2 linked regions of the Schizosaccharomyces pombe genome follow. The gene in region 2 interacts genetically with the main gene of each other region. Each region holds a gene or a part of one and is shown on either strand. Other genes may lie near its edges. The genes, in order: fus1 and exg2.

Region 1 (7,484 bases), 220 kb from region 2:
GATCTTCGTTGGCGAATGCATGCAGTGTCCGATGGTGAAAGACGACGTGTTCAACTATGTATGGGACTTCTGCGTCCATTTGAAGTACTTTTACTTGATGAAGTAACTGTAGATTTGGATGTTCTTGCCCGGGCAGATTTGTTAAATTTTTTGCAAGAGGAAACGGAAGTAAGGAATGCTACTATTGTTTATGCAACACATATATTTGATGGTTTAGCTGAGTGGCCAACTCACTTGGTCCATCTCAGTCTTGGGCGTATCGTGGATTATGGACCAATATCCAAGTTTGGTGCTCTGATGACAAGGTCCTCTACGGGAAATAGCGCCCTTCTAGAGACATGTTTGGAATGGCTCAAAGAAGACAAAAAAAATAGGGGAACTCGAGAAGAGGAAAAGCGTAGTACCTGGGACGACGTTCAAGAATCATTAAAAGTTGGAACTGATGTATTTACTGATTACTTTAAGATTTCCCGAGCAAAATAGATTACTAGAAAAGTTATCCTTTAGATGCTTAATTCTATCTTTAACAAGCATTACAGTCTTACTAGAATTAATAATTATACCTTTTATTAATTATAATTTCATTATAATTTGTTTAAGTCATTTAATTGTCATTAAAAGTCATTAACATTTCAAACATCATTATCTCTTAAGTTCATTGTTATTCTCCAGCTGCTTAAGCATGCATTCAGCTTTAAGGACGACTGTTTGTCTCTTTTTATTTGAGCCTTCTAGAGTTTGTTTATCATTTTCATAATTCATTAGAGTTTCGATTGTTTGTTTCGATGATTCAGTGCAATCGGTTTTGTTGCTTAAAGAATCATCACACAAACCTTTCTGTAGCTGAGATATTAAATTTTCCATTGTTGCTGAAACTTCCTCATTCTTTGAAGAACCACTATTTTCTGCATTATTGCTTTTAACAGATGCTTTTAAAGCTTGTAGTCTTAGAAAAGCAAGTTCTTCTTCCTTCTCCATCTTCTGATTTACAGTGCTAGCCTTTTTGTACTCCAGTATTATTTCGTTTAAATTATTGAAAAACCTAGCACTCGATGTAGGTTCATCTGGATTTTCACCATACATTAAGAGAGTTGTTTTAAGGGTTGTTTTTAGTTCAGTAATATCAGAATTAAGTTCATCCACCATTGATTTTCCTGATGGAATCCATGGAACCATGACTTCACAGATATGGTCATCAGGATGAAGAGCTTTATGATTCGAAAAAATGCCTTCATTGCTAAAGTCCTTTTCAACATTTTTCATCCGTTCACAAATATCATTACAATCCTGCTCCAACTGCTCCAAATTAAATCTGGAAATCTCGGGAATGGCTTTCAAATCCACGAGAAAAGCTTCCAATTGTGGAAAGTGAGTCCGAACTATTTTTTCAATAGTATGAAGAAGTGTTAATCCTGTTTTGTCATTTTTAATCATGGAAGCTCTTAGTAAACTTTCCAATCGATACCCTTTAGCTCGACGGGGTGCATCATTCATAAAATTGCCAATATGAAGGACCAAATTTAAAAAATACTTGAAATGCAAACTAGATTTCAACTCTAAAGAAGCACAATGAAGTTTCCTTATTTGTCTTCTAAAATCCCTAAAGTTGTTGGCCAGAAACGATTTGATTTTTAAAGCTGCCATTCTTTTTTCGTAATAAGTATCAATGTCAACAACAATTAACGTATAAATTTGATCGAAACGAGACAATTCTAAAAGCTTTTCACTTACTTCCATTACCTCTTCGTTTCGAGATGACATATAAGGCTTTAGTTGCTTTTTAAGACCTTCTTGTCGAAAAAACTTTCGGTCATTAAAAAAATCGACTAGTTCCATGATATCATGGTCGCAATGAAAAAATTTTTTGGCAATTTCAATTGGTGTCAAGGAATTGAATCTATGCAAACGAATACTAACCATTTGCTGTAAATCAACTGGCATAAATCCGGTATATTCCTTAACTTTTTTATTGGAAACTGTTACTTCTCTCAATGGATAACAATCTTCGAGTTGCTTAAAAATCCCTTCCGCAGTAAGTTTTAAAGTTAATAAATAAGGATCTGCAACTACAATATTCCATAGAGTTTTTTCGAAAGGAACTTCGAGGCGTTTCCAATGAAGCTGCTTTAGCCGTTTAGAAGGATTGCATAGCTCACCAGGAATTTTGCTTGCATACACTTCAGACTCTGAACCTGAACAGAATTTAAATATGTCATCGATTGAAATATTTTCGGGAATAATTATCGTCTTCCGAAAAATTTGTGAATCATTTTTTTCAAATTTCTGGAGAGAAGACATTGCAGTTGGTAAAGGAGGTGCAGGAGGTGGTAATGGTGCAGGAGGTGGAGCTTTGAATGGATTCCCATCAATAACTTCTTTGATTCTCATATTTTCTATTTTAGAAAACCTCTTGGTATCAGTTATGGAAAATCGGCCATAGTACGACTTTCGATAGTCTAAGGGAAGATCACTAACAACATCAATCCTTTTTGGATTAAAAACCTTGTGTTTTGAAGTTTCCATTTTTTCTGCTAAGTTAGCACTTTTTATTTGTGTTCCTGGCATACTCAGATGAACCTCAAAAGAATGCGTTGAAACAGCGGAAGATGGCTCGGATTTTAAAGTGATTGAGTTTGCTTTAGCTAGATCTAATTTGCAAAGTTTTAATTTTTCATCCTGATTTGGTTGAAAAAGCAGTTTAGGTTTTATCCTTGGTGAAGCAAAAGCACTAACGCTAGAGGTAGTGTTCACGGGTTGAACCCAATCTCTGTTTCCATTTCCATTCACATTGTTTTTAGAAATTAAATACTCTTGGTCACGATCTTGCAGTTTACTACTTGATCGGTTCAATAATCGAAGAATTTTGGTATCTTCGGAAATGTATGAATCGCGCGTACGCGTCAGTAAGTGCTTTAGTTTACTAAAAATTTTTTCGGCTGAAAAGGAAGATTGAGGATCAAACTCTGATGGAAACAACAAACACAAACAATCAAAGATATTTTTCAGATCGGTTTCATACTTCGAACTTTCCACATACTTTCTTTCGGAATTCTCATATCCTTGATTTGTAGTGTTATTAGTATCACCAGTAGCATAAAGTTCTGATTTGGAGACGCTGTATTCATTATCATCAGTATTATCATATGATGCGACAACTTTTTTGCTATTGGTAGTACCGTAGCCAGACGTAACACTTGAGTACCCCGGAGCGTTGTTCCCTTGCTCGTTTCCAATCTTTAATTCCTTATAAAAGCAATCAATATCATTATTTGAATTACCATTCCCTTTATCAGCTTGTAAAGTAAGCACTAAACAATCAAGTAACTTTATAATACGGACGGGGTTGTTGTGCTCTTTCAAAAGTTTTAAAAAATTTTTAATATGCTCTTTAACCATAAATTCGAAATTTGCATCATTAAACATGTTTGTGTTTAAAAGGGATTGATGAGCAGCAGAATTTGGAGTGTGCTTTAAAAAATGTTTCTCATTAGCAGTGTCTAATGATACGAGTTTCACGCATTTCTCGAGTTGTTTTAATACTCCTTCATCATTTATTTTTTTTAGAATGAGTAAAATGCTTTTGAAATTCCCTATTCTCAAGGATTCCTTGAACTGGAGTAAAGCAGTTTTAGATGGGATATTTTCAAGAAATGCATTTATAAGAAGCATTTGTGAAATGATATACTCAATAGTTATTTTATCATGTAAGGCCGCTTCTTCTAGTACTTTCTTTTCTTCAGTAACAACTTTCTCTAAGAGTGTTCTTTTCCATTGAGAAAGCCATAAATCAAAGACGTTCATAGACTCGACTTTCAAATTTGCAAAGTTTTTCATACATTTCATAATTGCGTTGATTCCGTTCGGCTTTTCTGAGTAACAAAGAAAAGTAAGTAATTCGGCAGCTAGTTTCCTTACTAGTAATTTAGTTGACAGGAGGCAGTGAACAACTGAATCGATAGGATACTTATTACTCAGATAGAAATCAGTCCCAATCTTCTGTCCTATAATACACCTCATGCTTTTGAGGATTGCAATTTCTAAAGTTATGTCAGGACTTTTTAGATGTTTCTTCTCATGAATTGCCTGCAATATTTTAGCAAGTACTATGTGTCCACCCATCAAAAGAAAATATCGAACCCAGGTAACTGATTCGGTTCTCAATGCAACCGCCAAAGATTCCACGTACTTGAGCTTCAACGGTGTACAGCTTAACTTTTCAATATAGGAAATGACGGATGCCTTGACATTTAGTTCAGAATCGTTTGATGATATTTTTAAAAATTTATCGTTTCTCGATAAATAGCCAGTGATGAAAGACCATTTGTTTTCTTGAGAGAGTGTAACGTTCGCGTCCCAATGAAACTGCTCACCAGAATCAGATTTTTCTTCGCGTAATCTTTTTAAAACATCATCGAATAATTCATTCACTAAATTCGGGTCATCCGGACATAGAAGCGCTTCGCCTGGTACATATGAATCGGTAAATCCAACAGGTCTTTTTGATAAATTGTTGCAATGAATATCCGGAATAGTGTTTTTTTTGTTTTCAATACTCACAAATAGTGAAGAGTAATCATTTGTAATACGAAGGTCTGTTTTCTTTACGCTTTGGTTTTTTAATCTGCTTCGCGATAATGCTTTTGCTTCGACTTTTTCATATGGGTCAGTGTGTAAATCAATGTTTGTTAGAGACCCAAACGATGAAATTTCTTTAACAATTGGTTTAGAGATTCTGATACCTTTAAAACTAGCCGTCATCATTAACAAGCAATAGCTAAAAAAGGTGAAACCATCAATAATATGTCCTATAATTACAGAAACAAGGTTTTTTGCTCGTAAACAATCCTTTTTGAGTTCAGATATAAGAAGTAAGGTAAAAGACTTACTAGAAAATTACTGAGTATTTAGAACATAACTTTCTTTGTTCGGTTTAACCGACGTAATATGATTCAAAGCAACAATTACATATGCAACGATCCATTTTATTGTACCCGTTAAAGAACAAAGAAATACTAACTGTGTTCGAAAACTATTTAGTTTTCCGATAAGTTCAAGCTCAAACACAAACGTAATTGGAAAGCGACAACTTGAAAGTAGTCCATATCAGAATTAACTGAATAATGCTGGAAATAAGTTTAGTGTCCATTCTAGTTTATATTTATTAATAAATGTTTTTTAAAAGACATTGAGAGGGTGGCGTACATACTGTGTCTTTAGAATAAGGCGCCTAATGAAGTGCTAGTTTACTATCACGCTAAAATTAAACAATCGCTTCTGCTGTTTAATTTATAGCTTGATTGATATTTGTTTTCCATAAATGAAAGACAGTTTGATTAAAAAGGATAAACATTTTGAGTACAAGATCAAGATCAAGAAAACTTAAAAAAATCAATCAGACTGTTGAACTGAAAACTAGCAACGAAAAAATGTACAAGATGAACTTTCAATTTAATATATTAAAATAAGAAAAATCTTTAATGCAGACTACTCTTTCGCACCTAAAAGCTCCAAAAACCATTCCAAGAGCATGGAAGATAACTCACTATAAACAAATCATAACAGTGGATAAACATAAAACGTAGGAAATATAAACATAAAATAACATAAACAACTAAATCTTGTCAAAAGCGAATTGTAAAAACAATTGAAGCAGTCCAAAGTAGTTCGTAACTAATACTAACAGTCGTAATTGGGGTTTAAAACTCGAAGTATGTTTAGTTCTGCTTTCAAATTGTTATTTCGTTTCTCAGCATCTTCCAATAAAGCTTGATATACATGAAGCTCATTGACTACCAAATCATGAAATAGATTGCTAGTCAAAAGTTGAGCAGCAGTTGGGCGCTTATTCGAAGAGCTGAGCATTGACCGGATTAAGCTAGCTTCCTCTGGCATGGAATCCAAGAAATCATGGGGGAAAATGCCCTTTTTTAAATTGGCGATAGCTGATGCCCTTTCCATGCGCGTGTTAAAAGGATACAGTAATTCAAAAAAGAGTATGCCCAATGCATATATGTCAGTAGACGAGTTGTTATTCATTACCGATCGCATGTGTTTTGAGAAAAGTTCAGGAGCTGCATACGTACTTGTACCGACAAAAGAAGATTCAGCTGAGGAGTTGGTCCCCTCTTCCAAATTATCTGACTGAGAAAGAACAAGACCGAAATCGCCTATCTTGGGCACAACACATAAAGTTCTTTGGTTCACTGGTTCGTACGCATTGCTAACCTCAACATTATCTTCATCAGAAAAATTAGGTAGACACACAGAGCAAGGCTCAGAATGTACACCACTAGATAGAAAAATATTTCGAGGTTTCAAATCACGATGGACTAAATGCATAGCATCGTGAAGATACAAAACGCCCTCTAAAATCCTTGCAAACAGTAAAATATAACAGTTACGTAGGCCTTTAGACATTACACCGTGAATATGCTTATTTCGTCTGTTTATGTGTTTCTCGAGTGTTTCTTCGCAAAGAGCCATTTGTATGTACAAACATAAGGGCTGTTGATCAAAGCTGGGAATATTGGAACATTCATCTTCCTCTCTTTCGGATAGAAATGAATCCATAAGTAACATTTCAGAAGCTGACTTCGTTGGCGCCAACTTTCCTAATGTGTCGACTTGTGATGTTGTTGAAGAACAATCATGTGACTCGGCATAATCCTGATCGGCCTCTTTCTTGAAAAGATCAGTCAAGTTGCAAGTCGAATTTTTGGTAGAGTAACAAGGAGTTAAATCATCTGCAACCGAGTCCTCTTGGAATAGTATCTGAACTGATGAAGGATAAGTATGCTGAAGTAACCCAGTATCCATATCAAACATAAAATTATCTATATCTGCTGATTGAGATAATGTCTCATCTGCCGAAGCTAAAGGTTCTTCTTCGATTTGCTTTTCAGATGACGGTAAGAGCTCGACCCAACTAGAAAAGAATCTTATCACATTGGGATGGTTTAATCTTGCCAAGGTCCTAGATTCACGGAATATGTTAGAAGAAGTGGAGAAAGAACGTAACCGAAGTGGAATTTTTTTTAAAGCATATTCAACTCCATCGAATTTATTTCGAGCTTTATACACTGAACCATAACCGCCTTTACCAAGTAACTCAAGTTCTTCAAAATCACTTGCATATCTTGACCTTTGGACTGTGGGAAAGCTATCAAAGTTGCTAAAAGACAAGTTACCGGTTCCATCTTTGTGCTCACAAAAATCAGCAAACGTGGAGGACTCCAAAGTGGTTTGTGGAAAGCAAGATTCCAATGCTTCAACTGGTAAATGATTTAACCTATTAGACAATACGTTTACTGAAGGCTTGACATTCATCACATCGTCTTCGTATCCACCATCACTCAATACGCTCAAGAAGGAAGCAGTTTTCGCCAAAACGCCATCAGGGCTGGAATACCTCGATTTCTTAGAATCCTTAGTAGAGCTCATGGGTAAGGTACTCCGAAAAGCTTTAGATAAGAGGTTATGAAGAG
Region 2 (4,185 bases):
GAGACATCCATCCAATCTCAAATTTTTTCTCTATTCGTAAATACTTCTGTTTAAGCAACTAGACGAATTTTGGTTTCAAACTTCTACAACGCAATTCTAAAGTGAAGATTTCCTTGAAACGCTTATCTACTATTTGTTGATTGGGTGTTCCATACCGATTGAAATTTACTTTTCTGATATATTTAAATGGAAAAACCATTGCCTAATCCGCCTATTCAAGAAAGTTTACGAAAGCAATCCCCCCAAGACGCTGTTTACGATGATTTGGTTTTTGGTTTAAAACGTTATGAAGCGGCTTTCTCAATTAAAGACAGTATTGAAGATGTTCTAGCAAATTTTTCTAAAGACGAGGAAAAGGAAATGGTTTGTCTCAGTACGTCGATTGCAGAAAATCCTTATCAATCGCTTTCATTAGAATCTGTTCCATCCAAAATACTATTTGGATCATTTTTATTTTATGTAAAGGATCGAATCCCGGAGAAAGCTGGTTATATAATTGAAGAGCAGTTCTGTAAACGACTTCAACAAATCGATTACGATGCTTATTCTTTCTCACCAAAAGAGTGTAATGAAAAATTAAAAAATATTTTCTCTGAATTCTCTCAAATGAAGCTAAAAATGTTGTCTGTTTTTTTCTCGATTGTACAAATTTTGCTTCCTAAACTCAGTGGAGATTATCAGGAACATGTCCAATTTTTTGCTTCTATATCGGCTGTCGTAGCACCGAGGGGTTATGTTTTTGAAATCTATCATGCAGTTGAACATTTATCTCTTGAAGCTAGGGAAGTTTTTCAGCTGCACCATCCTCCTTCCCCAAAACAAACAAGGCGGGTCGTTTCTGAAGGACCTCTTAATGGCGTAAACTACAAGCAAAACACTACTAACAACAGAGTCTCTTCTTTTCAAAATTCTCAATACTCTACGCTAAATAATTTCCAAAATAACTCTAATCAATCACCTAACTCCAATGATTTGCAACCACTTCAAGCTGAAGCCTTTCACTCCGCACATAATGGGTATTCTTCCTCTACACTCAACCTTAATTCTGAACTAAATGTAATGAAAGATCACGATCTACAAGCTCCGATTCCGCGTGCTTTAAAGCAGCATAAACTTCCTCCCATACCCGTACCTGAAGTTCAAACAACTAATATTGGTTATCAAACTGATTTACCATTGCAAAATCCCAATGATAACTTGGTATCTTTGGCGATTTATGAGGCACTTTACGAGAAATTTCTTAAAGCCTGTAAAGATCTGGAAGAAGTTTCCAAGTCATATGAGGAAAGCCGTGAGGAGATTGAAGCTTTGCATGAAACATTTACGGAGGAAGTGACTTCTTTTCAAAGTACTAAGAGATTGAAAGAGGAAAAAATTATTCAAGAAAAAAGTCGGGTTGATAAAATGATCGACGAATATCGTCAAAAACTTTCAGAAAGCACTTAACACTTTTACGTTTAATTATTGGAAATTTACTTATATTTTTAGATTGTTATTAACTTTTTATTATGTTTATGACTTGTTAACTGCTAACTTATATGCATGTTCCACCGCTAACGTCACAATGATGGATCGGTATTATTGTAATAGTTTTGCAATTTAAATACTGTTTGATGACTACATGTTCATATTTTTTGTTTGAAGCACGTTCTTCCTTTCTTTCCTCCCTTTGAAGAGTTGTATCATTATCTTTGTTTCTTTTCTTGTCAAGGGCCCGGTAGTTCCTTCTTTTAATAATTGGATCAAAATATCTTTCTTTCTTTTTATTGATAAAATATGAGCAATCTTTTAGAAGCTGAGTCATCTTGTGACTCTAAATCACTCGGTGTTGATGACTTTACATCTAAAAGGTGTAGAGAAATTGACAAGAAGGCTCTTCTTATTACTATCCTCCTTACATTTTTTGTTTCCCTATGTGTTTTCCTGTCAATTATTCTTCCTCTTATATTTTTAGTTATTATTCCTCACGCTCAGTCAGATCGAAAAATTAAAGACACAAATATGGAAACCACTAATTTAGGCGTAAATATAATTGATGAGATATTTAATTCCACTCAAGTACCTGAATGGGCTAAAAACTCGCTTTTGGACACCAATACTTGGCTTGATACATCTGATTTCAATACAAGTTTTACGAACGAAACGTTCGCTGGATTATATACAATGGGAATATTTGATAAATATGATGATTCCGTTCAGGCAAATCCTAATGTCCCTCCTTTGAACGAGCCTTTTCCGTACGGTCGACTTCCCATTAGAGGTGTAAATCTAGGTGGATGGCTTTCAATGGAACCATTTATTACTCCATCTTTTTTCCAAGTGAAAAATGAAACTGCATACTTAGTAAAAGATGAATTGAGTCTACACGCATATTTGGGGGAAAATGCCACCAGCGTTATTGAGAACCATTACAATACATTTGTCACGAAACAAACATTTTACGAAATTAGGGAAGCAGGTTTGGATCATGTTCGGATTACCTTTCCATATTGGATTCTTTACAGTAATGAAATAACTAATGTCTCGGGTATTGGGTGGAGATATCTACTTAGATCTATCGAATGGGCTCGTGAGCAAGGATTAAGAGTTAATCTTGATTTACACGCCGCACCTGGTAACCAAAACTCTTGGAATCACGGTGGATATTTGAATCAAATGGAGTGGTTGGATGGCACAGTGAAAGGCGAGGAAAATTCTCAATTCACACTAAAAATTCATGAAAGACTTGCTTCTTTTTTCTCTCAGAAACGGTATAGAAATGTCGTTACAATATACGGTGCACTTAACGAACCAAATTTCTTCGTTCTTGATGAGCACAAAATTACTGATTGGCATAAGCAAGCCTATGCGGTAATTCGCCAATCTAATTTTACAGGTCTAATATCACTTAGTGATGGATTTCGTGGTCCAGGTAATTGGGAAGATCATTTTGATCCATTTCACTTCCCAAACATACTTATCGATGTACATAGGTATATCATTTTTAATGATTTCTTAATTGGTTTGAGGCCAAAAGATAAACTTAATGTGATATGTAAGTCATGGAACGAAGAAATGAAGTTAAAGGCCAAATTACCGACGATTATAGGAGAGTGGAGCCTTGCGGATACAGATTGTGCTAAGTTTTTAAATAATGTTGGAGAGGGTGCTCGATGGGACGGCACTTTTACTCCTAATGGAGGTGTTGCCAGTTGTTCTGAAAAAGTTGGTTGTCGTTGCGACTTCGCAAATCAGGACCCCGAAAATTACGAGGATTCTTATCGAAAGTTTCTATATGCTTTAGCTACTTCACAAATTGAAACATTTGACAAAACATGGGGCTGGTTTTATTGGAACTGGGACACCGAAAATGCCACTCAATGGAGTTACAAAAAATCATGGCTGGCAGGTTTGTTGCCTCGCTTGGCTTACTCTACAACGAAGGATTTCAATTGCAGCATGCTTGATTCTAAATCTTTCATGGAGTTTGACGAGCAATCTGAATTTTGATGGTAATTAGAAAATGCAAGCATTGTTCTTTGGATAATATCAATCTTTTATTTTAATTTATGTCAATATAAAGGTACTTATTAAAGACCCCTGAATTCTATAGAATTTTAAAGTCATGATCGCTCATCTTTATTTGTGTACTAATATATATATACAAAGAAATATATGATAACAATTCAAACTTCGTATTACAATAAAAAATAAATAACAACCTTGATGTAGATAACACTAAGAATGTGTAGCCAGGTACTTTGTAAAATGATTCCATCATTGAGCTCGTAGATTAGGAAAATCGAATTTATCAATTAACCGTATTCTTCGAATACACGCTGACGAATCCGAAGGCCTGTAATCAGTCGCTTCCATAATAAAAGACAAGTCTTTCTTACATTCCTTGCCTCTGCTTCTTTTTCTTCCTGGTCTATCTCCTCTGCAATGAGATCGATAGCCTCTTCATAACGCTTAGAAACAACAACTCCCTCTAATTTAGGCTTTGAGTACTTCCGTTGAAAATCAAATCCAACAACTGCTTTTGCATAGTCAATCTCTAAAAATTTAGCTGCTGCCAAAGCACAACGTTTTCTACAATGATATGCTCCATATGGCAACATTGAAGGGACATATAAATCGATGTTTCCGTATGCATTTTTAGGAACAATGTTCGCAACAACCGGTTTCGGAGTGTACAACTGCGTA

What was found.
Region 1: of exg2 (region 2) and fus1, changing one enhances a phenotype caused by changing the other (phenotypic enhancement), as found in Schizosaccharomyces pombe (one study listed by BioGRID).

Annotation. Positions count from the first base shown.
Region 1 is NC_003424.3:4,812,583-4,820,066, forward strand, and holds fus1 (formin Fus1), read right to left. Parts: upstream 5,205-7,484; 5' UTR 4,762-5,204; coding exon 643-4,761; 3' UTR 529-642; downstream 1-528. Other genes in the region: CCR4-Not complex subunit Caf16, read left to right, coding at 1-483; eIF2 alpha kinase Hri1, read right to left, coding at 5,677-7,484. UniProt on the Schizosaccharomyces pombe protein: Required for cell fusion. It associates with the pre-zygotic projection tips in conjugating cells.
Region 2 is NC_003424.3:4,590,079-4,594,263, forward strand, and holds exg2 (glucan glucosidase exg2), read left to right. Parts: upstream 1-1,776; coding exon 1,777-3,489; downstream 3,490-4,185. Other genes in the region: protein Nod1, read left to right, coding at 187-1,446; DNA repair protein Rhp41, read right to left, coding at 3,795-4,185.